Astyanax mexicanus: one gene and its partners. The protein of the gene in region 1 purifies or fractionates together with the protein of each later gene. This does not show direct contact. Links are inferred from orthologs where the notes say so. Each region holds a gene or a part of one and is shown in the gene's direction. Other genes may lie near its edges. The genes, in order: skp1, fbxo36b and ccna2.

Region 1 (10,974 bases):
CTGCGTTCTGGTTAACATGTTACGAAGTTAGACATATTGATATGCTACCTGTTTATCAATTGTTTCTTTTTTTTTGCCTAAATATGCAATTGGCCAGTAATGTAGCTGACAGGTACGATGCATGTCAACCTGTGTATTGGAGAAAAATTTTGCCTCTGTCTTTAAGTCACCTGTGCCGTAAATACACACATACATGCTAGTGAGCACACACACATATCATCAAAAAAAAAAAAAAACACTGAGCCAGCTCTGCCTCATAACTACTATAATGTAGAATATGTAAAAAAAAAAAAAGTGCTTTGTGGAGAAAGAGTCCATTACTCATCCCGGAGTGTCGGCAGAGCTAGAAAACACCGCAGCGATCTTGAGCTTGTGGTTCTGTTCGGAAAGTCTGGCTCTGGCAGATGATGTTCTAAATGGGGTTGGTTCCAAAGTGAAGAACATTTTTAATTTTGAAGATTGCAGACCAGTTTGCCTGGAAAGGCTAATTTGGTATCCAGCCATGCTCTTGATTGGGATCAGCTATCGACCGGCTGAGATAAGACGATCTTATTCTAACGATTTGAACTGGTTTAATTTGAGCCAAATCAGTAACTGCATCCCAAGTGTGCACACATTGCAGTGGAGTATTTGGATGTTTTCACAACAGCTCTATTTGAACCAGTTAAAACTAATTCTGGTTGGTGCAGTTTGTTTGGGTAGTAGTGAAAACAGTGCTGGGGGGGCCGGTAAATTTTATTTTATTTTTTTTGGTGCGTTTAGGTTTTTGCCGGTGTGTCTGGTCTTATGTAGGTCACTGCTGGTCTTGCTGTGTGTGAACCAGTCCTCCCAGTACACACTCCTCACACAACAAACAAAACCCTGACCTAATCCTGATGTGTACTAGTGGAACTTTATACACGACATTAGATAAAAGAGAGAGGAATTTTACAGGCAAAATGATCTGTTTAGACAAACCATGGAGGCCAAACCTTTTACCTAAAGTTGATATGGATGTTCAGGGCTCTAGACTTAAAGTCTCAAGATAAATGAATTAAAAAGAGTCTTTTTCGCACTATATACACTCCTCAAATATGCCTTGGAGTATCAACACTACACAGTTTCACATTAAAAGCTGAAATAATAATAAAAAATTCCAGCTTAAATACGATATACTAGTTCTTAGAGACAGATATTTCACAATAATTCAGAAGTGAAATCTGAGGGAGTTCGAAAGGTCCAGCGGGCTAAGCGCTGTCACTTCGACCACCAGTTCGAATCCAGGTCATGCAGTTTGTCATCTGCTTCTGGATCCCAAGACAACTGGCCTTGCTCTCTCTGGGGGGCTACAGTAGATGGCGCTCTTTCCTCTCATCACTCACAGGGTGATGTGAATCAGCACAAGGCTGCGTCTGTGAGCTGATGTATCAGAACCGAGTTGTTGCACTTTCCTCCGAGCGTTAGCGCTGTGATGCTACTCAGCAATGCTACATCAGCAGAGTCCTAATGAGTGGGTTGGATAATTGGCCGTGGAAAATGGGCAAGAAAAGAAAATTCTGAGAAAACAAAAAGGGTGAAATCTGAATGAAAAAAAATAAATTCTTTATTGTTCATGGTATACAAGTATAACAATATGAGATGGCCTGAGGACTTTTATCATGTAGCAGGGAAGCTACAATGGCTAACAGGTAACTGGCTATGCTAACTGTTTTCCGAGCTGAATAAATCTCTATTTTCTTAAGTAATTGTGTTGATTGCATGCCTTGGGAAGACTTTGAGTAACACCACAATGGGACATCACCATGGTACTTCGCTGACTCTGATTGGTTTAGAGCATGATATGGGTTGAGATGTGGTCTAAATTATTTACTTATTATCAAAGTTTAGTATAGTAGCTGAATAGCTGCCTATATATCGTGTGTTGACAGTGATTAACTGTTTTAATTGTTTTTCTAGGCTAAAGAAATTCTGACAAAGGAGTCGAACGTGCAGGAGGTACGATGTCCTGTAACAGTCTGTGGAGATGTTCACGGACAGTTTCACGATCTTATGGAGCTTTTCAGAATCGGAGGAAAATCACCGGATACGAACTACCTGTTTATGGGAGATTATGTGGACCGAGGTTATTACTCTGTGGAGACGGTCACGCTGCTCGTAGCTCTTAAGGTATGAACTACTGACAGTAAATTTTAACTACATTAAAACTAGCGTTTTGCCAAGATGGTGTTAAAAAGTAAAAAAAAAAAAAAATTGTTTAATTTATTTTTAGGTTAGGTACCGTGAGCGCATCACGATTCTCAGAGGGAACCACGAAAGCAGACAGATCACGCAGGTTTACGGCTTTTACGACGAGTGCCTCAGAAAATACGGCAACGCAAACGTTTGGAAATACTTTACAGACCTCTTCGATTACCTTCCCCTTACAGCTCTGGTAGATGGACAGGTAAATTCATCACCTAACTTTTAGTATTTGATCATTTTCTAAATGTATTCTGAATCTCTGCTGAAACTTTTAAACTGGATCTTCTCAGATATTCTGTCTTCATGGAGGACTGTCCCCGTCTATAGACACGCTGGATCACATCCGCGCCCTGGACCGCCTACAGGAAGTTCCACACGAGGTGAGTATGGATGACCTTGCTAATTACTGTGTGTGTGTGTGTGTGTGTGTGTACAGGATTATTGCAGTAGTGTAATGCGTGCTGTGTGTTCCTCAGGGGCCGATGTGTGATCTGCTGTGGTCAGATCCGGATGATCGCGGCGGTTGGGGAATCTCACCCCGTGGCGCCGGCTACACCTTCGGGCAGGACATTTCTGAAACCTTTAACCACGCCAACGGCCTTACCCTCGTCTCCAGAGCTCATCAGCTGGTGATGGAGGTGAGTCGAGGGGTAAACGCTGGATGTGAGGGTGGAGGTGATTATGGAAACTGTGGTGTTAGGGGTTTGCAGGAGTTAAAGTTGTATAACTGCCTGATTTTAATGAAGATTTCTAATGTATTCTTTAATCTCAGGGTTATAACTGGTGCCACGATCGTAATGTGGTAACGATCTTCAGCGCACCAAACTACTGCTATCGCTGCGGGAATCAAGCAGCAATCATGGAACTGGATGACACCCTAAAGTATTCTTTGTAAGTGTCTTTAGATTAATAAAATAATGTAGAAAGAATATGTGGATATGTTTGCTATATAATATTTTATGTATGTATGTATGTATGTATAAATATATAAATAAATAGATGAGGCACTTGGTTTAGCTCTGTTCTGCAGGTGTATTTTCCTCTGCTCTTTTAACTGGTAGAACCTGAACATCATTCTGTAAAAAAAAAAAAAAAGAGGAATATTTTGTTTTTGTTTCTTATCCCCAATAAACATGACTAACTATTGATCTTTTTTTCTTCACAGCCTGCAGTTTGATCCCGCCCCTCGCAGAGGAGAACCCCACGTTACTCGCCGAACACCGGACTACTTCCTCTAATCCTGTGAAACACAGAGCTGTATCGCCACCATGTAATAATCTATATTCAGCTTCAGAAACAGGGGGGGGCGGGTTAGCTCCGGTCAATGGGGGGGTGGGGGAGGTGGTTAGGGGGATTTGTTGGGGGTGGGGGGGCGGGGGTTACTGGGCGGCTCTTTAAAGATTCAGAGAAGAAATGTCTGTATACATGGACCAAACGATGTGTGCCATACCCAAAAAATTAAATCCAGAAGCCTGTGTCCAGTATTATCTCATGATCTCAGTAGTTTCTCTCTCCGTTCTCCTCGTTCGGTCTGTGGGAAGGAAACGAACTCTGAACGCGTTTCCGCCGCTATACTTTGTGAATTTCATGTTTCTGAACAGTTTTTAATGTTTGCACTTTTTTCTTTCACATTTTTTCAAAGCGAGGAGGTGAACTGAGGCATGTGGCGTTTTCTGAGCAATATTTTCCTTTTTCATTTCTTTTTTTTTTTTTTTTTTACACTGAGGATGTTTTTTCTGTAAGTATATACCCCAGCAGCCATTTACAACAGAAGAGATACTTAGAGAGAATCTACACGTTCTAAAGGCATCATGTCAGTTTGTGTATGGCAGACATCAAAAGATGGTGAGAATGGTGAAAGGTTCTTGTGATGGGTAAATGTCTGTACAATGGGCACCAGCTGAATAATAAAGTTGGAAATTGCTCCTTTATTCTGTGTGCAGTTTCTTTATTTGACCTTTGACCTGTCTGACTAGAACTGCAGTTAATCCTCTTGATGATTGTGTGATAATTTTACCATGTTTCTTATACTGTATTCAGCTTTTCATACAGGTAGGAATAAAGTTAAATCTCGGCAGGAACTGATCTGTATTACAGAGAGTAGTTTATCTAGTTAATACTGTTGATCGTGTGGTGTTATTCTATTCTATTGGTTTTTATTAATGAACAAAGACCAAAGTTGAAATATGGTCTCATATACTCGCTTGTATATACTCATCATACTCACACTATTCTGTAAAAGTTCACTTGTCTGTCTTCACGCATAAATGATTCCCAGTCTTAATCCAGAGAGTTTAACATGATGTGGGTTCAATATTTACAGCTCAAACAGCTTCAACTTTTCTAGGGAGGCTTTCCACAAGGTTAAGGAGTGTGTTTATGGTGTTTATGGAAATTTCTCACCATTCTTCCAGAGGCACATTTGTGAGGCCAGACACTGATGTGGGATGAGAAGCTGTCTCTCAGTCTCCTCTCTAGGGGCGGAGCCGAATCCCGGGAAAAAAAACGCACCGTTTTCATAATCCCATCTCCACCACACTTACCACAAATTCACTGAGCTCCTGAGAGAGCCGTTCTTTCACTAGTGTTTGTAGAAGCCTCTGCAGGATGAGCTTCTGCTTTTTTTTTATTAAACACCTGTGGAGACGGAGGAGATTCTGCAACACCTGAGTTCAGAGATCTGGATGCAGGAGAGAATAGTTTGGCAGTATAGTGTTTATTTTACCAGTAATTAGAGGTTACATCATTCAATATTTTTTATTTTTCCTAAACTATAAGTAAGTAATAAAGTGATCTAGACTATGAAGTGTTTAACAAACCAAAATACTCTGTAAAGAGGAAACTCTTGCTCTTCCTTTTCTGGGGTGCTGCTGATATGTGTTTAATTATAACAAATATTATTAATTACATCCAGAGCCTCAATCAACACATGTAGGGCTGTGATGAGAAATGGCGTCATCTGGTGGACTTTTTGTATAAATAGATTAAAGTGTTCACTGTATTATTTCTTTTTTGCCTGATGTTATAAACACCTATTAATTGTGTAGTTAGTTAGTTTAACGTTTAGGTTAGTTATCTAATTAATTTATTGTCCTCTATAAACAGATAAGATTCTTCAGTAAACTAAGACAATGTTATAAAAATAAACACGTATATATATTCCGTTGATTTTTAATATAAAACTTTTTTGTAGATAAAATTCCTAAAGATAAACGGATTCTAGATACAGTTAACAGCAGAGACGTTAAAGTTAAACCAAGAATAACATCTTCACCTTTTATATCTACCCTGTAATCAGTTTAATTAGACAAATAACTGGATGAATATTTCTAAATGTTTGAATAACCACATTTGAACATTTTTGTGCAGAATGAATATGTGTAATGCTTATATTTTGAAAAATATATATTAACTTCAGTCAGTATTAATAAAGCTTTACTGCAGAGCTCAGTTCTGTACAAAATGGTGGAGCTTCTGGGTTATTAATAATAATAATAATAATAATAATAATAATAAACAGAGAAAGGCTAAGAGTGATAAATGATTTTAATATTAATGTTGATTCTGTAATGTGTATAATATTAGATGTATATTATTTTATATTATTTTATTGGAGATTGCAGATTATTATTATTAAAGGTGATTATTAATATTATTATTGTAGATCATAGATTATTATTATAATTATTATTAGATGTTTTAGGTGGTAGATGTTTACAGGTGAAGGCCGCGGTGAGGGGCTGCAGTGCGCCGGGGGGCCGCAGGGGGAGCTGTTGGCCGGTATGAGAGCCAGAGCGCAGAGCTCCAGCCGCACTCAGCCCGGACCCACAGCGCCGCCCGCCCGCTGACTCTGCGCAGCTTCACCGCTGATTCCAGGAGGACGCCGACACGGTGGGTTTACCGGAACAGCGCAGCGCCGGTTCTCAGCGTCTCCAGAGTCCGTCTGAGTTTAAATCCGGCCGCTCTGAGTCGGGTTTTGGCGGAATTATGAGAGAATAGAGAGGTCGCTAGGCGAGGCCTCGCAGCTAAAGCTAAGCTAACCCGGTTCTGAGCGGGGGGACGGCGGGGCGACAGCGGGGTCTGTTGGGGATGATTTTACTGTAATAAGCGCCTCGCCGGTGTTTCTGTTTAAATATGAACTCACTGTAAACTGTATTAATGTTAAACGAATGGAGAGACGCGTTAATTGGCGCAATATATAACCCGCTGCAGCGAGCTAACACCAGTGCAGTGCTAATGGCTAGGCTAGGCTAACCCACAGTTTGGATTCAGGTTTGTTTCTATAAAACCGGATTAATATCTGTTTATTTGCGGTCAGAGAGAAATAAACTAGTATAACAGTGCGCAGTCTGTCTGTTGTAAAGATTATATATTATGAATATTAGCTGTGTAAACTATATAATTTTAAATTCTAGCTAGCGTTAGCCCTTCTGCTCAGCAGAGCTGCCTGCAATAACAGGCTGTGATTAATCAGGCCCTACAGTTTACCACAGCTCACTATTAAACTATTCCTCCAGCTCACCATAAACACTTCCATGTATGTGATTGAATTATGTAGATAAATGCTTACACACACAATAAGAGATGGCGCGATTGCCATTTAATTAATAATACAATATTAAATCATTTGTGTGCTTAAGTGGTCACAAGCTTAAAGACAGTATTTTGCACATTTTAACAATGTAATTGTGTCCACAGGTAGCAGTAGTGCAGTAATGTGTGTAGGCCTGGTTTAACGAGACTCGAATAGATAAAATAGTAATAATAAACTGTATAATAAAACTGCTGATGTGTCGAACTCGGGTAAAATTTATTTTACTTTACAAGTGAAAAATTGATCTGTAGCAGATATGTAATTAGGAGTCTGAGATCACATGAAGAGATGTGTGACTCAGTGTGTGAGGGTGGAGAGGGGGATTGAGGGAGGGAGAGTTTTATGGTGAAATCAGTAACGACGTGGTTCAGCCGAAGGTCGCAGTGCTGCAGGTTGTGTTTGGGTGTGTTTTGAACCGGGTCAGTGCAGAACAATACACAGTAAAATGTGTGGTTTGGACATTTTGTTTCTAGTTGTCTGAAAAGACTTTATAGAAATCCATGAAAACAATCTATAAACACCACTAAAATACTGCATATCTAGATCCACTCCAGATTCTGTTTGTTTATAATAAAATCATTCTCTCTAGATGCCGACAATTAAGCTGCAGAGCTCCGATGGGGAGATGTTTGAGGTGGACGTTGAAATTGCAAAGCAGTCTGTGACCATAAAGACCATGCTAGAAGGTAAGCTGACAAATAAACAAACAGTGTCTGTTTTTATAATCTAAAAATTCATTGCTGCTGGTAGGAAGGTAGTGATCAGTGATGCAGCACAGCCAGGTCTTAATAATTCACTTGTTTCAAAGACTGAGGTAAAATTAGTTCTGCAGATACTCTGTGGTCTTCCTGTGTATATATAGGTGTGTGTGTGTGTGTGTGTGTATATTATGTAAGTATGTGTGTAAAATAAGTATATAATATTTATATATTGTAATCAGACTTTCTTTCATTAGTCAAGTTTCTTTTTTTTGCTCTGTTTGCTAGATTTGGGGATGGATGATGAAGGTGATGATGATCCTGTCCCTCTTCCCAATGTGAACGCTGCTATTCTCAAGAAGGTAGAGTTTCTGACCTTATTGTTAGCTGTTCTTTTTTTATTTGAACATCACCTGGATTTGTTTTTTACATTGTTGTTATAATAAGAGCAACAAAAGAAAATATTTGAAACCTTAAAAACCCAGTGCTCCAATCACTGAGCCACCGCCCACCTAGTCCTGCTTAGTCAATAAATAGATTAACCATAAAAATAGATTTATAATAATGTTCATTACATACATAATGTGGTGTACAGTTTCTGTGGGATAAACCATGTATCTCCTTTTAGATTTTTATATATTATGTCACAATTTTATAATGAGTGGAACAATCGACCTTTCGCACAGATTCCATTCAAAGTTCAGGATTCTTTCGTTTTTCTGTAGAGATGTTTTTGTTTGACTGTGTTTATATAACTAATTATTTATGGGTTTTAAATATAATAAAATGGTCAAAAAAAAAAAAAAAACATTATTGATTTTTTGTTTGTTCATCACAGAGGTAAATTGTAGTTAATTTAAGTGTGAGTAAGCCGTGTGTTCGTGTGTGTTGCAGGTGATTCAGTGGTGCACTCATCACAAAGATGACCCTCCTCCCCCTGAAGATGACGAGAATAAAGAGAAGAGGACGGATGATATCCCGGTTTGGGACCAGGAGTTTCTGAAAGTGGATCAGGGGACTCTGTTCGAGCTGATCCTGGTCTGTTGGCTCTATTGTTTATCAAACCGTATTTAGTGTTTTTTCATGTATTTATTCTAATTACATTTTACATTCTGAAATCACTGTTTCAGTTCAGTTGTTTATAGGTGTGAATTTTGTCTTTTCTTTTTGAACGCACACACTTGTGAGGTTCTCATCATGTGTTTTTGGCTGTAGTGATTAAACAGATTTAATAATTGTGATCTAAAGCTACGTTCACACAGCAGGTAAATGTGGTTTAAATTAACTGCTTTAAAAAAGCTGTAAATAAAGGTTAATCAGGAAGTGGGCGTGGCTGAGTACGCTGGATAAGCTCAGCTGCAGATGCTGGAACTGCTTGATAGCTCCTGTGATGCTGAAGCTGAAACTTTAGATGAAGCTCTGCCCTTTAGTCGGTTTAGGATGTAAACTGTTCAGACTGTGGAATATAAACCATGTTAAACAGATAGTGTGAACAGAATAAACACACAGGAAGAGGATTTGAGCTGCTTTACCTGCAGCCTGAGATTAGGATCAGTGTTCTGGTTGATGTTGGGTTATTTAATGTGTTCTATTATTGTGGGTTTGGTTTCTGGGAACTGTGTGTTAAACCAGTTTAAATCAGTGGGTGCAGATCCTAGTCTTAAAGGGCTGAGTGCCCTGCACATTTTAGTGTTTACACTGTTTCCAGCACCCTTCCCCAGCTGATCCTCCGATTACCCGCCTCTTCATGAGTTGATGGAGGTGTCTGAGTGGCGTGGCGGGTCCTGCGGGTCCGGGGTGCGTGCGTGTGTGTGTGAGATGTGTTGGAAAAAGTGCAGCATGTTTATCTGCTGCCTCTGTAACTCAATCCCTGTTTTTGCATAGTGGTGCAGCAACACAGAGCCAGATGAGTAAATGCCCCGTGGAGGGGGGATGGCAGGGGGGGGCTGTTGGTGGGAAAAGCTGGAAGAGTGTATGGATTAAAGTTCTGGAATGGAATATGTTTATATATGTTGTGGTGGAGAGTTGGTTTCATTTGCATCATTTTATAATAGATTGATCAGCCACACTTCCCTTACTTTCATCTTTTTCTCCCTTGTTTAGGCTGCAAATTATTTGGACATCAAAGGCTTACTAGATGTCACCTGCAAGACAGTCGCAAATATGATCAAAGGCAAAACCCCAGAGGAAATCAGAAAGACGTTCAATATCAAAAATGACTTCACAGAGGAAGAGGAAGCTCAGGTAAAAAAAAACTTCAGCCTGGTGGAGCTTCAGCATGTAATTCAGTCTGGCTTATCAGCGTCTGTGATTATAGAGCTGGAGCTTCTGTCCTTTCGCTCGTGGACACGATGGATATCAATCATTTTTAAGTTGACCAATTTAATATTCATCATCAGTTTGGAGAAAAATCTAATTTTTATGCATTTTGGAAACATTTTGATCAGCTAAAGAGAAACCTGAATGAATTTAAACAGGGTTGTGTAGTTTAACCCTTTTTACACCTGGATGCTTTATGCATCGGGATAATCTGAATAATGTATGTAAGTATAATATCTGACACACAAATGCAAGACATATTTCAAATGTTTGCACATCTGATCACTCGGCCTAGAGATGAACCGATCACCCACTACCTCAGTAATAATTACTGCATAATAAGCAAATTTACATACTTCTTCCACACAGCTCAGAGTGTAAACACACGCAGTTTAAATCTGATCCAGGTACAGATGCAGTACATGGTGTAAACAGGGTCTGTTAAATGTTCTCTAAATGTTCTCTGTTGGTTTTTCTCTCCAGGTACGCAAGGAGAACCAGTGGTGTGAAGAGAAATAAGGAATGTGACACTAACACACTGTACGGATTTTTCCAAAAACAGATTTACTGGTTGCACTGCACTGTTCATATTGTTGATATTGACCTGTAGACCAATAGGATGAGACCCCTCGTGTATTCATAGCATGATCTTCATTGCTTGTGTGGTGCAAAAAAATCTATAATTTAAAGTTTTTTTTCCCTGTTTTTATTCCTCTTTATATATTCAGCAGAAATAAATAGTCTTCACCTCCTTCCTGTAGAAGTCACTCTTTTTTTATTATTTTTCAAATTAGATGTTTCTTTATGAAGCAACCAAGTAGATTTTTTTTTGTTTTTGACTAATTGAAATGGTTAAAGCTTGATTGTAATTTTTATAAACGCAGCTCGTGTGTACTTCCTTAAGTCGTGCTGAAGAAGAGCGAATAGAATCGAGGAGATCTGGAGGATCTGGGAGGTGGAAGTTTCCTGTGTGGAAGTTCTTGTTTAAGAAGTAAAATGTGTTTTTCTTGCGGACGTTTACTTTGCCTGCTGTCATTGTAAAGGATTGGACACATTTTTTTTAGTTCTGCTCTTACAATGAAGCTTAGGAATATTAATCTTTAAATTCCGAAAATAAAACCAACAAAACGTTACGAGTTTTCT
Region 2 (10,974 bases), on another chromosome or scaffold:
GGCAAATAATGTCATCATTTCTTACTATTTTTTTTCCTTATTATTTAAAAAAAAAATACTCAATATTAAATGTAAAATAGAAAATGGCATAAAAATATAAATTCTGTTAGTTTAGGATGCGTCGTTCTTTACCCGGTTTACACATTTCAGACTGTACTAACCTGTATTAATAGCCCATTTCCAATACATTGTTTTTGTGACGTCGCAAAAACCATTTATTGCACATTTACAGAAATCTGCTCATTTAGCCTGTAAAAAATGAAGCCTCGCCCCATTCACCCTGTAGATATAAGGAGTGTTCCAGTCCAGACTGTTTATTATTCATATTATTTTTTAAGTACTTTGAAGCAATACTGGGCAGCCAATCAGAACAGAGAGCTCTTATACACCCCACTTATAGACTCATAGTGCATTCCTCCTGGTGAAAGACTCGTTCAAAGCTGATTATTAGTATTATTAGTGTCATATATCCATATTCAGCTCTGTAAATAAATGAAGAGAGCACTTCAGTTTCTGAATCAGTTTCTCTGATTGTGCTATTTATAGGTTTATGTTTGAGTAAAATGAACATTGTTGTTTTATTCTATAAACTACAGACAACATTTCTCCCAAATTCCTAATAAAAATATTCTCATTTAGAGCATTTATTTACAGAAAATGAGAAACGACTGAAATAACAAAAAAAGATGCAGAGCTTTCAGACCTCAAATAATACAAAGAAAACAAGTTCATATTCATAAAGTTTTAAGAGTTCAGAAATAATCAATATCTGGTGGAATAATCCTGGTGGTTTTTAATCACAGTTTGTTTTTTATGCATCTTGGCATCATGCTCTCCTCCACCAGTCTTACACACTGCTTTTGGATAACTTTATGCTGCTTTACTCCTGGTGTAAAAATTCAAGCAGTTCAGTTTGGTGGTTTGATGGTTTGTGATCATCCATCTTCCTCTTGATTATATTCCAGAGGTTTTTAATAAGGTAAAATCAAAGAAACTCATCATTTTTTAAGTGGTGTGAACCTGGTACCACCAACACAATTGGCACTTTTAAAATACTTTTTAAAGTTCTCAGAACACCATGAATCTCTAAAATTTCTAAAATCTGAATGAAACAAATTCTAATCATTTTTCAAACCACCTCCAAATGTGATTTGGATCTGATTTGCAAAAATTTAGATTTTTGTGGTTTCTGGCTGTTCAGACTGTGTCTCAAATCCAAATTCTGGATACAATCTAGCTTTGACCTTGCAGTCTGAATGTAGCGAAATTGAAGTCCAGTCCAGTGTTTTGTTGTTGGCATCGTTAGCATTGTTAGCATCGTTAGCCTAGCATCTCCTGTATATAAGCTAGGCCTGCGTGAGCACACATGGCCGTACCGAACGTCCTGACCGACCGGATGAACCTGAGCTCAGAAATCAGACCTGGCCTCCGGTGCCGTATGCTAATCTGCTAGCGTGTGATTGGGTCGGGCCCTGGAGTGTAGCTGAAGCAGGGGGTGTACAGCAGCACAGCGTTATAGATAAGGCTTTTATATGATCTGCTGTGGAAGCTTTTAGTTGCAGAAGCAGATTTCACCTGTCTCGTCCTCCATCTATGGATTTTCAACTAGACCTACATCAGATTTACCATTACGAGTGTATAAGTTAATGTGTACATATATAAATACATGTATAAAAATATTAAAGCTTTTTAACTACTGTACGAAGTGTGTGAAAGTGTTTTTCTTTACCACGCTTTTTAGTTTTTTGTCTTTTGTAATTGTGATTATTTATGTACCTCTCTGACGCTACTTTTGGGTAGTGTTCCTCCTGGTGAGAGATCCATTACTGCCAGATCTGCCTCTATGACCCTTTCAAACACTCAATTTCTGCCCGTTTTACCCATTTTGAAAGGTCTTTTTGTGTTGTAACTGCCTATTAATAATCTGAAGGGTGTATATCTCCAATGGTTTTATTTTACGAACTACAGACATTTCTCCCAAATTCCAAATAAAAATACTCATTTAGAGCATTTATTTACAGAAAAGAGAATTTTGAGAAATGTCTGAAATAACAAAAAGGATGCAGAGCTTTCATGTTCATAAAGTCTACTTAGAATATATTAAAAAGTTACTTTATTTTAGTAATTCAGTTGAAAATGCAAAACCTCAAAGTATTATATAGATGTATTGTACACACACTGATCTATTTTAAGCGTTTATTTATTTTATTGTGGATGATTATGGCTTACAGCCAGTGAAAACCCGAAAAACAGTGTATAAGACCAATTGGTACTTTTGGAAGTGTGGACAGCGTGTAAATGCTGCTGGAAAATGAAATCCAACTGAATTTTTTTAACTGAATTACTGAAATAAAGTAACTTTTCAATGATATTCAAATTTTTTGAGATCTTTTGTATCTGTAATAATGGATAATCATTTTGTCCTCTAAATGCTACTAGTGTTAGCTTTTTTTATTGCGCTGTGTGGAAGACTACTAGGTTTAAAATCGTCACCTTCTTAAAAAATTTCATTTTTTTTTTTTATTATTTTACTTGAATCATTTCCTGTGACTTAAGCTAATTTATTGTTTCTAATCAAAATAAAAATGTGACGTGGGTCATTTTAATAGCTTTCTAGGACCAATCTCCACGATCCAGGTTTCGTCCCCAGTTTTACTATAATAATAAATGTTAATAATAAAGTATACATAAAGAAAAAATACACTTATTAATAAAATCTTTAGGCTATAAATGTTGCTTAAAATGAGTTGCTTAAAAAGAGTTTTTAAGTATTAATTTTGAGTTTTATTGATATTTTTTTTTAGCATTTTGTCCCCCCATAAACCCCCATGTTTTTTTAATTACTGTTTTCTTAATGTTGAATTAGGATTAAGGTTTCTAGTTGGTTCTAATTTTTAAATTAATAATTTAATAAATAAAAAAAAATAATTTTATTCTAATTTTATTATATAGTTTGTTTTTAGTCTTTTAAGGTTTTAGGATTATTAATATGGGAGAATATGACAAGGCGGGGTGTAGATTGTCAGAATATAATATATCTAATAAATATATAATATGGTGTTTAGCTATAAATCCCTTTTTTATTATAGTTTTTATTATATTTTCTTGTTTTAATGTTAGTATTTGTTATTTATGTTACAGTTATTAAATTCTGGTCATTTCCTATGTCCGATTTTAAATGATTATTTTGAATTTTATTAAAAAGTCATTTTAAAAAATGAGTATGTGGTTTTATTTTAGGAAGGTGACAGTGTTCTTTAAAATAATTTAGATTATAATTATAAAATATTAAATTCACTCCCGGTTCAGTCTGGCTCATGCTCGTGCCCGCGCGGTGGGCGTGGCTTTCTCATGCGCTTGCTTTGTTATGGCAACGGTTGCGCGCGTCCTTGTTGCCATGACACCGAGCGGAGTTTGCAAGATGGCGAAAGTGCAGGAGGAGAGTCTGCTGGAGATCGGGGGTCAGGGTCCTGCTCCAATCAAAGACTACTACCACCTGCTCATCACCAGCACACAGGTAAACCCCTCCCCTCACCTGAGCACACCTGTTACTCACCTGAACATCTGCACACAGGCTTCAGAACCAGCCAGCTAAAACAGCAATATCAGAATACTGCGACTTTTATCCTCATAAAAATAACATTTACTACTTCACTTCTTTTTAGTATTTATCTTATAAAACTACACTACACAAAAAACATTATCAAAATATATTATCCAGCTAAATCACTTTATATTTCATATATTTCTTTGTATACAGTTGGTTATATGTCCTCGGAAAAGTTGGCATTTGATGGAAACGAGGTTAAAAATTTTTCAAAAATGCATTTAGTTTAATTTTTTTTTTTAAATATTTATACATAATTACTGTGATATTTTACTTTGACAATGTAAACTAAAACTTAAGCTTTACCTTTTTAAGCTCAGTATTAAGAGAATATGGGAAATATTAAGTGAAATTAATATTATTAATTACTGCACTTGCAGCAGCATGTGTCTTCAGGCCCTTGTAAATAAAAAAATATATATATTTACAGCTCTGTAAAAAATGAAGAGAGCACTTCAGTTTCTGAATCAGTTTCTCTGATTGTGCTATTTATAGGTTTATGTTTGAGTAAAATGAACATTGTTGTTTTATTCTATAAACTACAGACAACATTTCTCCCAAATTCCAAATAAAAATATTCTCATTTAGAGCATTTATTTACAGAAAATGAGAAATGTCTGAAATAACAAAAAAATGCAGAACTTTCAGACCTCAAATAATGCAAAGAAAACAAGTTCATATTCATAAAGTTTTAAGAGTTCAGAAATAATCAATATTTGGTGGAATAATCCTGATGGTTTTTAATCACAGTTTTTTTCATGCATCTTGGCATCATGTTCTCCTCCACCAGTCTTACACACTGCTTTTGGATAACTTTATGCTGCTTTACTCCTGGTGCAGAAATTCAAGCAGTTCAGTTTGGTGGTTTGATGGTTTGTGATCATCCATCTTCCTCTTGATTATATTCCAGAGGTTTTCTGGGAGGGGCACTGGGTGATGTAAGGGTTTAGGGGCGGGGCAGGAGGGAGAACCATGGGAGTAAATGGAAACATCATTCTCGCCTATAGCACAGTTAAATTTGAGAGGGCGTCAGAAATTTCCAGAATAAAAGCGTTTTTTTAAAGGTTAGAAAAAGTTTACAAAATTTAAAGTATGACTGGTATGTTTTACACTTTAGGATTCTTCCTCACATCATTGATTCACCTCATTCTGCATGTGCTGTGCTCTTACAGTCACCTTTACAGGACTTTACCACACCTAGAGAGAGTAGCTCCAGTAACAGTGCTGAACTTTCTCCATTTGTAGAGCGTCTGTCTTACCGTGGACACATGAACATCAAAGGCTTTTAGAGATACTTTTAGAGTAACCCTTTCCAGCTTCATGCTTAAAGGTCACAATTCTTGAACGTAGGTCTTCTGAGAGCTTGATCTTTTGTGCGAGTCATGATTCACATCAAGCAATCAAGCTTCTCAAGAGGTTTACATACTATTCCTCCTCACTGTGAATGTTTAACATGTTGTGTTCAGTAAAATCATGCAAAAATATATTTGTTTGTGTGGTTTTAGTTTAAGCAGACTGTGTTTGTCTATTGTTGTGACGTAGATAAACATCAAAACACATTTAATGACCAATTTATGCAGAAATGCAAGCATAATCTCAAAGGGTTCACATACTTTTTCCTGCAACTGATGATGCAGGTGATCTGGAGGTGGTGGAAGATTTCTCTGAGGGCTGAATTCAGAAACGCGAGACCTGGAGAACTGAAGGAATCACACAGCGAATATTTGGAAGACAGCACGCTGCAGAGTAATGATATATTCTGAATATATATATATATATATATATATTTTCCGGCTGTACGTGTTTAATAAGGTGTGTAACTTATAAGGTGTGTATTTAATGGTTAATCTCAGGACAGGTGAAGATCGTTTTTGGTCCAGGTATCCTGAATTACTCGTTGGATCTGTGCCAGGGTCAGGCTGACTATCTCCTGCGTCTTCCCGAGTCCATACACCTGAAGATCATGTCTCACCTGGACCTGGAGGACGTGGCTCGGTTGGCAGGAACCTGTTGCAGGTTTAAACAGGTAAAAACTGTGGATTATCTGTAATTTTCCCTTTTAATATAAACCCTGTGCAAAAACAGATTACTCAATATTTACATATTTACAAACACAGAGAGGAATACAGACTCCTGCTGGAAAATGAAATCCACATCTCGCTGACTTTAGACTTGATAATAGAACACAGTGGATCAACAGCAGCAGATGACAGACATGACTCTCCAAACAAACCATCACTGATCATCAGTAAATTTTACATTTCATTTAAAGTAAATCAATGCCTCCCTCTCTCTGCTGATGACAACTTTTACGGAGATACAGATTTCATTTTCCAGCAGGACTTGGCACACTGCCCACACTGCTTACCAAAAGTAACAATTGGTCTTATAAAATATAATATTCTAATTTTCAAAGACACTAATTTTTGAGTTTTCATTGGCTGTTAACCATAATCAATAATTAACAATAAAAGAAATAAACTCTAAAAATAGATCACTCTGTGTTTAATACATCTATATAATATCAATCAATCAATCAATCAATCAATTATCCTTTATTTCCACTCCGTAATACATTGAGCGTAACCCCATTTTCAATGTAGACGAGCATTTACAACATTAAAGGAATTGAAAATCAAGTCTAAATGATAAAAACAAGCAAACAATGTAAGATAAATAAAAATAAAGAAGAAATAAAAAACTTAAAAATAAAACAGAAAGGCTAAAATGTAGAGCAATAAAACAAAGAGATTCAGATCATTACAATGATAAAAACGTAAATGCTGGAACTATAATAATTATAATAATAATAATAATAATAATAATAATAATAATAATAAGTTAAAAAATTATAAAAATGAATAAATAAATTAAATAAAAAAAGGTCAAAAGTAAAAGCAGTAATAAAACAAATAAAAGGATGAAATGAATCAAATAAATAAAATATAAAAGGGCTAAAAGGTAAAACATGAAATTAGATAAATGAAAAGACATAATAATTAAAATAAATAAAAAGGGAAAAGGCCGTGAGAAGGTGGTTAGATATATGATATGTGGGTTTCAGATTTTGAGTATCTGAATTACTGAAAACTTTTCAATGATATTCCACTTTCTTTGAGATGCACTAGTATGTGGTGTTCCCACAGATAGATAGATAGATAGATAGATAGATAGATAGATAGATAGATAGATAGATAGATAGATAGATAGATAGATAGATAGATAGATAGATAGATAGATAGATAGATAGATAGATAGATAGATAGAAGAGTCTGATGGCTCTGGGGACAAAAGATCTCCTGAGTAAACAATGTTTAATATCCTGCTAAACTGTTGGGTTTAGATAGATAGATAGATAGATAGATAGATAGATAGATAGATAGATAGATAGATAGATAGATAGATAGATAGATAGATAGATAGATAGATAGATAGATAGATAGATAGATAGATAGATAGATAGATAGAGAGAGAGAGAGAGAGAGAGAGAGAGAGAGAGAGAGAGAGACGTTCCTCAACCATCCACCTCTCTCCTCCGCCTCCACCGGGAGGAGTTGAAGAGTTTGATGGCTCTGGGGACAAAAGATCTCCTGAGTAAACCATGTAAACAGTGTTTAATATCCCGCTGATATTAGATGGGTTTCCGTATCTAGCTGCTGTAATATGGAGGATATCTTTAATATATATGATTCTGCATTATTTGCAGCTCTGCAGCTCGGAGGAGTTCTGGGAGCAGACGGTGAGGATGCACTGGGACACAGTTCCCGCTGAGGTGGAGGAACTGGCCGAGGAACTGGGCTGGAGAAACGTCTTCTTCACCAACAAACTGCAGCTGCAGAAACAGATCAGCCGCCGGAAACAGAGGAACCAATCAGGCGCTGGCGCCGCCACCGGCCTTCAGGTGGATTCGCTGATCAGACTCTCTGAGAGCAAGCATGGACTGAAATAAAGAAACCTTCAGAAGCTTCTACAGATTAACTAAAACATCGTTAATCTCACAGCGATTTTACATCCATTTAGCGTTATTGTTTTATATATATGGTTTTTATTAAACTGTATTACTTACAGAAAAGACCTTTAACGTCTTGTTTATATTCTTTTCTTATAGTCTTTACTGTGTTGTTCTTGCAGTGTAGAAATGGACATTTAAATATTCATTATTATTATATTTTTCACACTATAAGGCGCACTTAAAATCCTTTAATTTTCCCCAAAAAAATATATCAATCAGGTATTAAGGAGCAGGAGTTTCAGTGAAGTTTCTCCAGCACTAAGGCTGGAGCAGTAGTAGCACTACCCGCTAACCATACAAAGCACTAGCTCTTTCACCATTCAGAGGTGAGTATTATAGGCTTGTAGTCTGCTGCCAACCCTGGCTAGCACTGCTGGAGCAGCATTATTAGCATTACCGTTAGTGGTTAGCTGCTAATGCTAATGCTCTAGCCTTAGTGCTGGAGAAATTCGGAAAGAAATGGAAGTGCTTTACTTACCAAACTACATAGTTTTCAATAGAGAAATCTGTGTAGATTAACATTCAGCACTCGTTTGAGTTAAAAAAAAAAAAGTTGTTTTTTTTTTTACTTAGCTTAGCTTAGCTTAGCTTTACAGGTCTGGCCACTCACCTGCAAGATCTGCTGAGTTAGAATGGAAACATGGCGACACCTTGTTCCTTACTAGTGTTGCTTAAAATGCCCCTTATAATCTGGTGCGAAAAATGATTGATTTATTTTACAGAAAAATAAGATTATAACCTTTTACACCAATTTTTATCTCTTTCTGAATTTTTAATAGAAAAAAAACATCTCCATTTTTGTTGATTTAAAGTTTACTACTTAATTTGAACACACAAACTGTTCCTCACACTGTGTAACAATTTCTTGATGAATGGACCAATAGAAACTCTCTAAAAATATCTGAAATAAACTGTTTTTACATTGACTTTTCACATTGAGTTTTTTCTCTTTCTTTTTTTTAATTGGACAGTTGACAATATGCAATATGGAGGGTGGCAATACATGGTGTGGCAACAAAATAATCCATAAAAAAACTGAATTATTTCTGATTTATCATTATTTTTCCATATACTAGTGCATCAAAAAAATGAGAATATCAAATAAATCAATAAAGTGACTTTATTTCAGTAATTCAGTTGAAAATGTGAAACTCATATATTATATAGTTGTATTAATCACAGAGTGATCTATTTTAAGAGTTTATTTATTTTATTATTAGTGATTATGAAGCTTACAGACAATTGGTATTTTTGGTAAGCAGTGTGGGCAGTGTGCCGAGTCCTGCTGGAAAATGAAATCCTCATTTCCATAAAAATGAAAACTTCACACTAGACCTCGAGCAGTTTGGACTGTGTGTCTCTCCACTCTTCCTCCAGACAATGGGTGCGGATTTCATTTTCCAGCAGGACTCGGCACACTGCCCACACTGAGTACCAAACAAAAGTACCAATTGGTCTTATTACATAATATTCAAATTTTCTGAGACACTGATTTTTGGGTTTTCATTGGCTGTTATCCATATTATATGGATTACTGAAATGAAGTAACTTTCTTAATGATATTCTAATATCATTATATAAGTTTTTCCTCACAGGTTCCTCAGCGTTTTTTACACAGATACTTTATAAAAGTTATGAGTGCATTGTTTCCCTGAGTTCAAATACATTAAAATGTTTTTTACATGCAGTGAATTATCAGAAATACATAATGTTCTTGAAGATTCTCCCCTCTGACCCTCTGAACGGCCTGATAATTGCCTCCTATTTCAGATCTTCACTGCTGATGTAGAGAACGTAGCCTCGCCACTATTTTATTCAGTTAAACCTGATGACCTCTGGATTTATCAGGCTGAACTGCAGGTATATATGTGCTTAAATGAGACTATAATTGACTGTATTCGTGTATATAAGCATGCTGCAGAACCTGCATCAGTCACATCTTCTGAGGAGCACCGGAGGAGCAGAGATCTGTCCATCATCAGCCAGGTAAGATCATTTTATAACCAAAAAATAAAGAATAAATATACATTTTTATAATTCATTTTTTATATATTCCATAAAAAAACTGTATTATGTGGGTTGGTTGTGTTGAGCTGGTGGGGGGCGGGGTTCGGTGTGGTATTTTCTTTAATTTTATAATTTTTTTTTTATTTAAAGAAAATATTTTTTTCCCCATGCGTTCACATATAAATATATGTTTGGTCATGTTATAAAAAGGAAAACGAAAAAAATATATATTTTTGAGTAGAAAATAATCTACAATTTCATTTTTACTAATGTAATTATAATCAAACAATCACATTTTAATGCTGTCTGATTTTATTTTTATTTGCTGGTCATTTACAATACTGTTTAATTAAAACACCACTACTTTCACCTGTAATAAACATTAAATTAATGTTAAATAGATCTTAGTGTTATTAGAACTTCATACTGGATATCAATGTTATCATATTAGTATTTTATTTAATTTTTATTTATTGTTAATTTACAATAGCATTAAATTAAAACACCACTATTTTCATTTTCCTTCAATAAACATTAAATCAACTGTAAATGGATATTAATTAACTTCATACTGGATGTTAATGTTATTATAGTAGAAATTCATACTGGATGTAAATGGTATTACAGTAGAACTTCGTACTGGATATGAATATTATTATAGAAAAACTTCATACTGGATATGAATATTATTATAGAAAAACTTCATACTGGATATGAATGATATTACAGTAAAACATCATACTGCATATGAATGTTATTATAGTTTCATATTGGATATTAATGTTTCATTAGAGCCTTTTTTCAGTATATTAATGTTATTAGAGTTTCATACTGGATATTAATGTTTCATTAGAGCTTCATACTGGATATGAATGATATTACAGTAGAACTTAATACTGAATATTAATGTTATTATAGTAGAACTTCATACTGGATAAGAATGTGATTGATGGTATAATTGTGATGTTGTGTTGTTTCAGGGGGGAACATGTTGTTTCTGGATGCAGTGAAAACTTGTGTTCACAGTATCACTCTGATATGGAGCGGGCTCATCACGTATCTGGTCACGGTTCCGGTTCTGGGAACCTCTACCCTGCGTAAGAACCCGCGGTTCCTGCTGCTGTCTCAGCAGTGCTGCTGCCTCTCCGCCTTCAGCTTCCTGGGTCTGGTTCTCCTCATCCTGAGAAACTCCAGCCAGGTCACCACCCGCCTCACCTACTGGATCCTCCACGACCTGCAGGTACTGAAACATGATCACAAACCATCAAACCACCAAACTGAACTGCTTGAATTTTTACACCAGGAGTAAAGCAGCATAAAGTTATCCAAAAGCAGTGTGTAAGACTGG
Region 3 (10,974 bases), on another chromosome or scaffold:
GAGCCGTGAAACCTAGGTCTGATGCAGAACAGTACAAAATAGTAATTGAAATATGTAGATATGAGTGTGTGTATGATTGTTGACACAACGTATGTTTTATGTGTAGGTAAGAATGGGGAGGAGGTGCTGTATGGAACCACTGATGGGAAACTGGGTCTGATCCAGTTAACCAGTTCTGCTCCTGTCTCTAAATGGGAGGTGGACAATGAGAAGAAAAAAGGAGGTAGGGGCAAATCTTATAGACAGCTTTGTGGAAATTTAAAACAGTTTTGTAGGTGAGTTTACGGATGGGTGATATTGTAAAAATATAATGAAAATATCATATGTTTTTTGAGTGCACAAGTGATATTTAAAGACCTTTTCATAATATGCAATATTTATTGCAATATTTTTGGATGTAGACAAAATACACTAACTTAAAAATTTCTAACTAAATTTAACTTTTTATTTCATTATCTTCTTAAGGGGTGCTGTGCATCGATACCTTTGACATTCTGGGTGATGGTGTGAAAGATATTCTGGTGGGCAGAGATGATGGGACAGTCGAGGTCTATGGATTGGACAGCTCCAACGAACCCACGCTACGCTTTGAGAATGTATGTGTGACACTGACAGGTTAACACTCTCTGCTGATTTCAAAATAGCTGATCAGTGTTGTTTGATCACTAATCTGCATTATTCTGTGATCAAAAGGTTTTGTCAGAAAGTGTCACATCAATCCAGGGGGGGTGCGTAGGAAAGGAGTCATATGAGGAAGTTCTAACTACCACCTACACAGGTCAGAGACTGAAGACTAAGTTAAAATACTCCTTACATTCTACCATCCATGTTGCTTCTATCTGCTGTTAGCAGATTCCATATTAAAAGTAGTGCCATATAGAACCATATTAAAAAATGTATAAGGACACCTACACATTATACCTACAGGAGGTTTTACCACATTCTGTTCTTTTACCATAGTCATTAGCGTGCAGTCGGTCCCCCTTTGCAGCTCTAACAGCAAGTGTGGAGCTCTGCAGTCATTGATCAGCTATTCTCATCAGCACACCCCTTCTGTAACTTTACATGATCAGACATTTTGTGGCTGAGTTTCTGTGGTTCCTAAATGCTTTCACTGTTTAATAATAACCACTCACAGCTTATTGTGGAATATCTTGTAGGGAATAAATTTCACCAGCTGACCTCCTATTGCACACAGTGCAACACACGTTCTCTATCTAAGGTCTGTAAAGTCCCAAGACTGCATTACTTGGAACTTGATTTCGTACACCTATGGAAATGAGACTTTGTGAAACACACAGTTTCAATGATTAGAGGTGTGACCAAAACCTTATGTCTTTATAGTGTATTTTAACCCTATTTTAAATATCTTACTCCCTTGTCTGGTTGTGATGTCACTAGGTTGGGTGTCAGGCCTCACTACAGAGCCGCAGCAGATGGAGGCAGGGCCAGGAGATGAGGTAAAGATGAGCCGAGAGACCCAGACAAAGGTGGCTGCGCTCAGGTACAGACTTTACACATGTAATGCTGGACAAAGCTCTTATTTAGTGATATTCCTTATGAATTTAAAAAAGAAGCTCTTATTATGGAGAAGCTAAATCTCTCCTAGATAAATGTGAAATATTAATAATTATTAATATTACTTTATTTTAGATGTTTAATTAATGATTAATGATTAATAGTCATAAATCAATTACTGTCATGATATATTTACTTAATTTACAAATTATCTGAAGAGGAATTGCATAAAAAAATGTTAAATATCTTACAATCCAAATTCAATGCATTTTAATCACCAACTTCATAGCAGTACCTTACAAATATGTTACTAATTGGTGTTGAGTTGTTTTGTGTTTTCAGGGCTGAGTTAGAGCAGCTGCAGGTGAAGGTAATGCAGGGTCGGGAGAAGTACCAGCAGAGCTCTCAGTCAAGCACGGCCGTATCTGCGGTGCCCGTCTTTAGCATCAATGACAGATTCACCCTGTGCCAGGATGACGCCAGCTACAGTCTCACGCTGGAGGTGCAGACTGCCATTGACAACCTGCTCCTTCAGGTCAGCACTGTTCGAAAGGTTTACAATAGTAAAAATATATAACCTTTAATATTAATATCTTAGTATACTTAAAATATTATTACTAAATAATTTAATATTTTAATATTCTTTATTTTTGAACAGAGTGATGTTCCTATAGATCTACTAGATGTGGACAAGAACTCAGCAGTTGTCAGCTTCAGTGAATGTGATTCAGAGGTAAAACACTATTATATCATCTTCATTTATGCTGCGAACCAAAGCAAACAGGATCGGCAAATGTAGGCCTAATGTGAGTTTAAAAAGCATTACTATTTACATATTTTCTCCCAACAGCCAAATGGAAATTTCCTGCTTGCCACCTACAGATGCCAGGCTAACACTACAAGGCTGGAACTTAAGGTAACTGATATTGATACAGTATTCTGACAGTATTGGAGAGCAGATAGCATTATGAGACAATAAATATGGGCATTTGATTTAACTTAACAGTACCAATTTTAGAGTATTTTTTATGGCAATAAATATATGGCATAATTCTTATTTCCTAAATTCTTATTTTATCTCTCAAATACTGGCAGTTGGAATAGTTACCGGTAATCCAGTGTTCCTTATTCAGCGCTCTGTTGCTCTCAGTGCTCAGTCTCCCAATGTGAAGCCTGTTTCACACTGTTTCACACTGTTTCCATTAATTTCCAGGTGAGGTCAATTGAGGGTCAGTATGGCACACTTCAGGCCTACGTAACACCCCGTCTGCAGCCCAAAACCTGCCAGGTCCGACAGTACCAGATTAAACCGCTCTCCCTGCACCAGAGGACTCACAGCATTGACCAAGACAGGTGGGCATCACATGCAGTAATCAGTTGTCTACCATAGAAATCAATACAGAACATTTATTTGCTAAAAAGTGTGTCAGAAGGATAGTTAGAAGAACAAGCCTTGATTCTCTCTACAGACCCATGAACACTCTGCGGCTGGTGGGCCAGTTTAGCTTTGCGGAGATTCACTCGTGGGTCGTGTTCTGCTTGCCTGAGGTGCCAGAGAAAACCCCAGCTGGAGAAAACATCACCTTCTACTTTCAGAACACTTTCCTGGGAACACAGCTTGAGGCCAGCTACTGGTGAGGTCAACTCCACTGCAGTTAGAACAGAAGAAGGGAGAACAAGACAAATAAATCTAAAGATTATGTAGTTTTAAGAATTTCTAGTTATCAGTGTAAATATAAAATATAAAAAATCCAGTGAAAGGTGTACACATAAGTTATTGGAGTATGTTCTTTTGATGATTCAGTTTAAATGTAATTTTTAAGAAAATTCTGAAATATCTGCTTAAATATGCCTAATAAACACAAATAAATATGAGACAGAGATTCTGAATATAGATAGAATACCATTTATATGAGGTTTGTTCTGGTGAAACAGTGGTCACCTTAATTAGCACAAACTTGAGCATGTTTATGATTACTTTGACACAAAACCGCATAGATGTAATTAACATCTATTTGATGCATCTGTATAAGTAATGTATGTTGTGTAATTGCGTGTGTTTTTGTTTTCTTTTATTTTTTAGCAAAGGCGAAGGGAACTTTAAGTCAGATAATATTTCCACCATATCCATACTGAAGGATGTTCTCTCTAAGGAAGCCACCAAGCGCAAAATCAACCTGAACATTTCATATGGTGAGTCCTTAGGATCCTTAACAGATCTGTTCCAGATTTGGAATTTACTATATTTAGTAACTATATACTGTACAGTGTTATAGTAACATTGTATACTGTATTTTATTGATTACGTATATGCTGTGGCGACCTTTTTCTGTTTGCCCTGCTTTAGAAGTGAATGAAGATTCTGTAAGCCATACCCTGAAGATGATTCACCCTAAACTTGAGTATCAGCTATTATTGGCCAAGAAGGTTCAGCTAATTGATGCTTTAAAGGTAATGTACTGTGTGCAGTTATGAATTATAATATTAACTGCTTAATTAAAACTTACTTGATGTAATGTATGTACATTTTTATATGTGTTTATTGTGCAGGAGCTGCAGGTGCATGAAGGGAATGCGGATTTTCTGATTCCAGAGTATCGCAGTATACTTGACGAATCTGCTCGTCTTTTAGAAGAATATAAGAAGCAGCCAGCCCATCTGGAAAGGCTGTATGGTAAGTTGTCTTTGTATGTTATGTAAGCTTCATTTGATTGTATTTCTAAAGAAATATTATGATAGTATTGATTATACTGTAGTGATACTGTTCCCAGATCTTGAATATGTACAATATAACATGATTCTACTTTTAACTATTCAATTATTATTAATAACTCTTAAATTAACATGTTTTTGTCTTCACACAGGCATGATAACCGACCTCTTCATCGACAAGTTCAAATTTAAAGGACAAAATGTCAAAACTAAGGTTTCCCAACTTCTTGAAATATTAGACAACTATGACCTGAATTCTCTGATGGAGTTTTTTAATGATGGATGAAGATAGATCAGTCTGTCATCAAACTGAAATTGTAATGTTTTTCTGTGGTATTTATTTGCTGTATAACAGATGCTTAAGTATCAATGCCATACTGAGATTGTGTTAGGTTATGTGTTGTGTTATGTAAGATTAGTGACACCCTGTTTTTCAGACAAATTGCTCATGTACTCACTTTATGTGGGGTCATTTTTCTATGTAATAAATTTTTCAAGTCATTATCTGTTTTGTGTGTGTTGTTAAGGGTATTTTACCTTTTTGTACAAGAATGTTAATTGTACAAACGAAAAACAATTGATCAGAAAACAATTAGTTTAATCTGGAATTTAAAGAAGATCTGAAATACATACGAAATGTGATATATCAGTGTTACATTTTGTTTCACTAAACCACAGTAAATTCCTTTCATAGAGATAAGGGCTCTGTTTTTGACATTGCAAAGGGCAAAAGTTTTATTGCTAAAAAAATCATTGGCCATTTTGGATATACACATTTCAGAATAGGACAGGCTAATAAATAATCCATCAAAAATCTAAAGGACATTCTAAGTTAACATAAACTACAACTAACTAAGCCCTGATTTAAATAAGCCAGCAGTTTCTGCAGACGTAAGAAAGATCTCTGGAAGTTTGTTCCACAGGTGAGTATAACAGTAGATCAGCAATGGTATTAAAATAAAGAGGAAACGTCTTGGTGGGTGACTTCTGCTCTTAATTATGTTTGCTCTGTACTAATATTTATAAAGTTATTTTCCACATGTTGAATAGGATCTCCTGAAAAAAACATTTGCTTTGTGTGACAGTGTGATATAAACACTGTAATTTATATATAAATAAATGAATAAATAAATACAAATCTTAACATCTACCTTTATTTGTACTTTTATCACATATTTTTAAATGACAAAGTGGCATTAAAATCTACCTTTATTTATTTTATTTTTTTTTTACTTTTATTGCATATAGCTAAATGACCCTAAAATCCACCCTTTTTCTTGTCCTTCTCCTTCATGTGTTTTTTTCTTCACTTTTGCATTGTAATACTCTCTTTTTATTCTTCTTTTATTTAGTTTTTCATTATTTTTAAAGAACAGATAAACATAAATAATATATTATAACAGTCTTATCTATTATGGAGGGTCTAAACTAGGTCCATCTCCAGGCTGTTCCTTCTATTGTGCTCTTTTGTCCATATTCTCCTCAATTCTCTGTTTAAATTCTCCTCTGAGCCAATCAATCTCTTACATCGACTTCTCAACGGCTCGCGCGCTGCCTCCCTCCCGGCTGCCGTAGATTAGTGACGCTCCGCTGCGCTGCGCTCTGATTGGTCGGTTTGAGTAGTCGCGGGCTACTTGAACTGGTAGAAACAAACCCGGAGCAGGAGCGGCGGCGGGTTGGACAGCACTGAAACAACCCGGCCTGAGTCAATACAGCGAGTTTAGGCGGTTCTGATCCGGATTATGGCGCTTTTTGTGTCGGTGTAATTATAGGCCGAGCTGTAGTTTAGCGTTGTTTATTTATTGCGTTCTGAAGTTTAAATGACTCTTATTTTTTGTCTGATCAGCAGCTGAATAACTTTAACTACACTCTGCTGCTGCTGCGTGTCTCACACGGTAGGTCAACCCCTCTCTATCCGCCTAAACTGTCTCTAACAACGGCTTAATGATTACCGAGCGCCGCTGTGGGATCTTACATTAAACAAATTATAGTTCTGGGCTGTTTTAGATTCGCTGATCGTGTTATTTTTCTCGTTATAGCCTGAGTTTACTATTAACACGCTGCAGAAATGTCCTCACACGAAGTTAGTGAAGCTGGATCCGTCCAGAACCAGGAGAACCGTCTCTCTCTGCGCGGAGCGGCAGCAGTAAAGAGTAGGCTGGAGAACCAGGAGAACGTGAACCCGAAACCGTCCAACAGAACCGTGTTGGGAGTGCTGGAGAACAACCCGAGGAGACAGCCCGCCCTGCGAGGCTCCAAACAGGTCTGTGGGGGTTTTGTGAATGGTGATCTAAACTTTAGTTACACTTTGTTAATGTGACTTTAGACTCTGTGTTCCTACTTTTGCTCGGTCAACTCACTTGTTATAGATCTAGTAAGCTAGGCTGGATATTATTTTTTAACTAGCAGCACTAGTTGGCTGGATGGGTTAACCTGCATGGTTAGCTAGCTAGCTACCTGCTTAAATGGGCCTACGTGCATCTGTTAAGTGCATTTCATGTTGTAAGTCTTCATTTTATAAGTTTAACACTTCTTTAAACCTGAATTACGTGGTAATTAAATGCGTTTTAGTCCTGTTTTTTGTTTTAAATGGCCAAATAGCTTCCCTCCATGTCCCAGACCGCCATTTTCCCCACCTCAATAGGTTCCATAGGAGTGACACTAGCTATGCTGCAGCTGCTCAGTGCTTCTAGGCACCCTGCCATGCAGCTAATACTTTACAATAAAGGTTAACAAAAACAGCACTTACGACAGTAAAACATTTGTTAAATGGTTACTTAATGTCAAAGTATTAATTTATGCTAGTTAAGCCATTAATTATTTCTTATTTTCTCAAGAATGTTTCCAATGTGTTGGTACAGGGGTTAAAAAATTGTAGTGATATTTTGAATAGGTTGGTGTCAAATAACTAGTTGACCTACTTTTATAAGCACAGTTAATGTATCCTTATTGTTAAATGTTACCTGCATCTGTTAAGCCCTAAATTTGGTAGTGTTTTTGTATAGCTGGTCAAAAATTAACCACCAGTATTAGAGAAACATTTTCTAATACAAGTAACACTCTTGCTTGTCAGGGTTTGTATGGTCATGAAATTTAAACACTTTCCAGGCCTGGATAAGTTTTGGAAAAATGATTATACCCAGACAGTTTTGGTAAAGGCATAGACATTTGCAATTTACAAATGTTTCCATTTATCGACTGAACCTATTTTGAGCTCATAAATACATCAGCTCAGTTAGTTCAGTAATATAGCCCTGCACAATGGAGCTCTCAGGATTTGATATTTTATTGAAGATTGTCAATGTTGCTTAATTTGTTTTTTCATAGTTTTGTTTGTCTGCACTGACTTACAATTTGCCTTGAGAACATGGAGATATATTGGTTAGTGTATGAAGGCTGAAATTGGTAATTTCAGTGCTTTTAAACACTGAACGGGGTTAGTGTAGATTTAAAATATTTTACTATAAAGGCTAATTGCTTGTATTTTCCCTTGTGTTACCAGGTTAATGTACAGCCCTGCAGATCAGATGACCATGGCAAAAGTTGTGCAGAAAAGCCCTCTTCCAAGCAGCCTGCTTTTCAGATTCATGTTGATGAACCTGATGGTGCCTGCTCAAAGAAACATGTTTCTTCCAAAAAAGCCACCATGGATTGTTCCCCGTTAACACTAAACCCCACAGTAACCCGGTTAAGGCAGCCCCTTGCTACTATCGACCTGCCTATGGATCTCAGTTTTGGTACGACATGGCAGATTTTGGTATGCAAATAGAAGTGTATGAGTGTTTTGCGTTGAATGTTCTAACACTTTCTTCTTTTGTTATAGATTCTCCCATGGATATGTCAATAATTGAAGGTGAGGAGAGGCTGGTAAATGTAAATGAAGTTACAGACTACGCTGCTGAAATTCACACACATCTAAGGGATATGGAGGTAAGTTATACATCTTGAATACACATTTATGGGTTTTGTTGGCTTGAATTCTTTCAATATTTTATTTATTTTTCCCCTCAGCTCAAATGCAGGCCCAAAGCAGGTTATATGAAGAAACAGCCAGACATCACAAACAGTATGCGTGCCATCCTGGTGGACTGGCTAGTGGAGGTTGGTGAGGAGTACAAGCTTCAAAATGAGACTCTATACCTGGCAGTGAACTACATCGACCGCTTCCTGTCCTCAATGTCTGTGCTGAGGGGAAAACTGCAGCTCGTTGGCACAGCGGCTATGCTGTTGGCTTCGTAAGTATTTTACATTCTGCTTTTTGACTTGTGCGCCACTGGTGTAGAGGTTTGCTCACATGCTTTTTGGTGGCCTGCAGAAAATTCGAGGAGATCTACCCCCCAGAGGTGGCAGAGTTTGTTTACATCACTGATGACACCTACACGAAGAAACAAGTGTTAAGGATGGAGCATCTGGTGCTAAAAGTCCTTTCTTTTGATCTGGCAGCTCCAACGATCATCCAGTTTCTCACCCAGTACTACTTGCGGCAACGTGTGGACAACAAGGTTGAGAGCTTGTCAATGGTGAGTGAAGGCAAATGTGGTCGAACATTTATTTGTTTTGAGGTTTTGCAGCATTTTTCTTAATCATGCCATTACTTTTCTTTTAGTTTCTTGGAGAGCTAAGTTTGGTTGATTCTGACCCCTTCTTGAAGTACCTACCTTCTCAAACAGCTGCTGCAGCCTTTATATTGGCAAACTACACCATCACAGGGGGATCATGGGTAAGTTGTATACATATATTCTAGTTATTTGCTAAGCTCTTATTTTTTTATCTTGAGATCAATATTTTGCTTGTTAATTTGGTTGTTTCAAATCTACCTTTTGTGTTTTAGTCAAAGGCTCTTGCTGAGATGACCAGCTACACATTGGAAGATCTTATGCCATGTATTCAAGATCTGCACCAGACCTACCTCAGTGCTGCCCAGCATGCACAGCAGTCGGTCAGGGAGAAATACAAGGGCTCAAAGTAAGTTGAAGTTGCAAATGTTAGACGTTAATTATTTATCAACTTGTCATAATGTACACAAGTGTGTTGGTTCAATATTTATATGTTTACAAGGTGACTAGCCCATTAACATTTTAATAAGCCAATATGCTGACTTGTTTTAAATGGTGCCTTTATTAGTTAGATTTATTTAAGGCAGTGGTTCTACAACATTGTACAATATTTAAATACAAGCAAATGTCCTCTACTTTACCACATTGGGATGCTTTAAGTACCACCAGTGGTATATGTACAACTGTCTGAGAACCACTGATTTAGGGTATTGACTGTATATACCTGTGTACATTGTCTAACAGTGGATTATTTTCTCTTCCAGGTACCATGAGGTTTCTCTTATTGAACCCCCAGAGAAGTTGCTGTTGAACTGAACCTGCTCATCTTGTACTTTATGCTCCTGAATTTCAGACTCTAACAAGAATTTGTGTACATTTTTTGAAATGTTGCAAGTTCCCTTAACTCCAATAATGGACACCAAAACCTTTTGTATAGGTTGTGGTGAGATTAGTGTTTCTTGTATATTTTTATGTGCAGTCCTGTAGGATTGCTATTTTTATGCTTGATGTATCCAGATATTTTGTACAGGTGGTAATCAAGCACTGTTTTGATCTTTCTTTTGTTTTCATATTTGATATTTTTTAATGAAACCGACCAGTGGTGCTTATTACTGATTTTGTAAAGGTTTTATAAAATTGACATCTAATAAAACCTTGCCACTGGTTTTCTACAATGCTGGCTCTTGACTTTTATTTTTGATTGTGATTTTAATTTGAGTTTGCTTGATGGTTCAACAAGAACATAAGGTAGTGAGTGAGGTTGAACAGACAAGATTTGGTGTACAGTACTCCAGTCTAGCCTTAAATCAATTTGGCTAATCTCAGATGGGTTGCTTAATTTGTATAATTTGAAGTGCTTTAACTATAGCTGTATACCTACATATATTCTAGGTTCTTTTCTGGAGGCTGAGGTTGTTTTGGTAATAAGTAGCATAAAAATGCTCAACGCTTTGGGTTGTTAAATGGTTATTCTGACATTTAAAAATATATGTGACTGTAGTTAAAATATGGTGAGCTTGTTTCAGCATAGTCCTTGCAATGTGTGCATGGAAAACCACATCACAGGATGTGCATGATTCAATAAGCTGAATGTACCATACATGTGTTGCAACAAAAGCATGTCTGCTTTAACTTAATCTTTAGCGTGCACTATAACATTGATTGACCTCTGGGCTCATCTGATCTCTAAAGGTAAAGTCTATAGGTAAAGATGAGTAAACATTGCTTCATGTAACCTGTTCATTAAATGAGCTATCCGGTGTGAAATGGGTGGGGTGTAGTCTTTGCTCTGAAATGCAGCATTTTGCTGACACCCCTGACAGGATTATAATGCTAGTGATGGGGCAACATTGCCCATGCAAAGAAATTAAGATTATGTTGGACAACATACTGAAATTTTATTCTGTGAAAATACAATTATTTACATGACTCCTCAGCTGTAGTTTAGTTTGGGCTTACGTTGACTTATCCTGACTTAATTTATAGATGGCAGTGCCTGGAGAACTACCTTGTGGTACTGTAAGTGTTTTTAATCTTCTTGTACACACTTCAGTACCTCATTTTTTATTCTAACACTTTTTTTTTTTTTACCAATGAGCTACTCAGTTGTTAATGGTAAACTGTTGTCCACGCAAATAAATCATACCACATATTGCTAGCATTGTACACCTGTTGGGAGCACTAGCTA

What was found.
Region 2: the proteins of skp1 (region 1) and fbxo36b purify together in Homo sapiens (affinity purification with mass spectrometry; 3 studies listed by BioGRID and IntAct, with this or other methods). This does not show direct contact. The link is inferred for Astyanax mexicanus from reciprocal best matches to the Homo sapiens genes SKP1 and FBXO36.
Region 3: the proteins of skp1 (region 1) and ccna2 purify together in Homo sapiens (affinity purification with mass spectrometry; 4 studies listed by BioGRID and IntAct, with this or other methods). This does not show direct contact. The link is inferred for Astyanax mexicanus from reciprocal best matches to the Homo sapiens genes SKP1 and CCNA2.

What each region holds. Positions count from the first base shown.
Region 1 is NC_064424.1:48,034,885-48,045,858, reverse strand, and holds skp1 (S-phase kinase-associated protein 1), read left to right. Parts: upstream 1-5,928; 5' UTR 5,929-6,111; intron 6,112-7,403; coding exon 7,404-7,500; intron 7,501-7,800; coding exon 7,801-7,874; intron 7,875-8,406; coding exon 8,407-8,550; intron 8,551-9,615; coding exon 9,616-9,756; intron 9,757-10,314; coding exon 10,315-10,350; 3' UTR 10,351-10,964; downstream 10,965-10,974. Other genes in the region: ppp2cab (serine/threonine-protein phosphatase 2A catalytic subunit alpha isoform), read left to right, coding at 1,936-2,145, 2,249-2,422, 2,511-2,600, 2,697-2,858, 2,993-3,111, 3,386-3,458. UniProt on the Homo sapiens protein: Essential component of the SCF (SKP1-CUL1-F-box protein) ubiquitin ligase complex, which mediates the ubiquitination of proteins involved in cell cycle progression, signal transduction and transcription.
Region 2 is NC_064411.1:57,736,706-57,747,679, reverse strand, and holds fbxo36b (F-box only protein 36b), read left to right. Parts: upstream 1-3,366; 5' UTR 3,367-3,367; coding exon 3,368-3,517; intron 3,518-5,244; coding exon 5,245-5,353; intron 5,354-5,460; coding exon 5,461-5,633; intron 5,634-7,313; coding exon 7,314-7,556; 3' UTR 7,557-7,681; downstream 7,682-10,974. UniProt on the Homo sapiens protein: Substrate-recognition component of the SCF (SKP1-CUL1-F-box protein)-type E3 ubiquitin ligase complex.
Region 3 is NC_064417.1:25,272,636-25,283,609, reverse strand, and holds ccna2 (cyclin-A2), read left to right. Parts: upstream 1-5,876; 5' UTR 5,877-6,125; intron 6,126-6,269; 5' UTR 6,270-6,298; coding exon 6,299-6,493; intron 6,494-7,732; coding exon 7,733-7,967; intron 7,968-8,053; coding exon 8,054-8,160; intron 8,161-8,241; coding exon 8,242-8,465; intron 8,466-8,545; coding exon 8,546-8,750; intron 8,751-8,836; coding exon 8,837-8,950; intron 8,951-9,061; coding exon 9,062-9,195; intron 9,196-9,550; coding exon 9,551-9,602; 3' UTR 9,603-9,961; downstream 9,962-10,974. Other genes in the region: bbs7 (Bardet-Biedl syndrome 7 protein), read left to right, coding at 107-223, 466-596, 694-778, 1,402-1,504, 1,861-2,053, 2,177-2,251, 2,369-2,434, 2,732-2,871 and 5 more. UniProt on the Homo sapiens protein: Cyclin which controls both the G1/S and the G2/M transition phases of the cell cycle. Functions through the formation of specific serine/threonine protein kinase holoenzyme complexes with the cyclin-dependent protein kinases CDK1 or CDK2.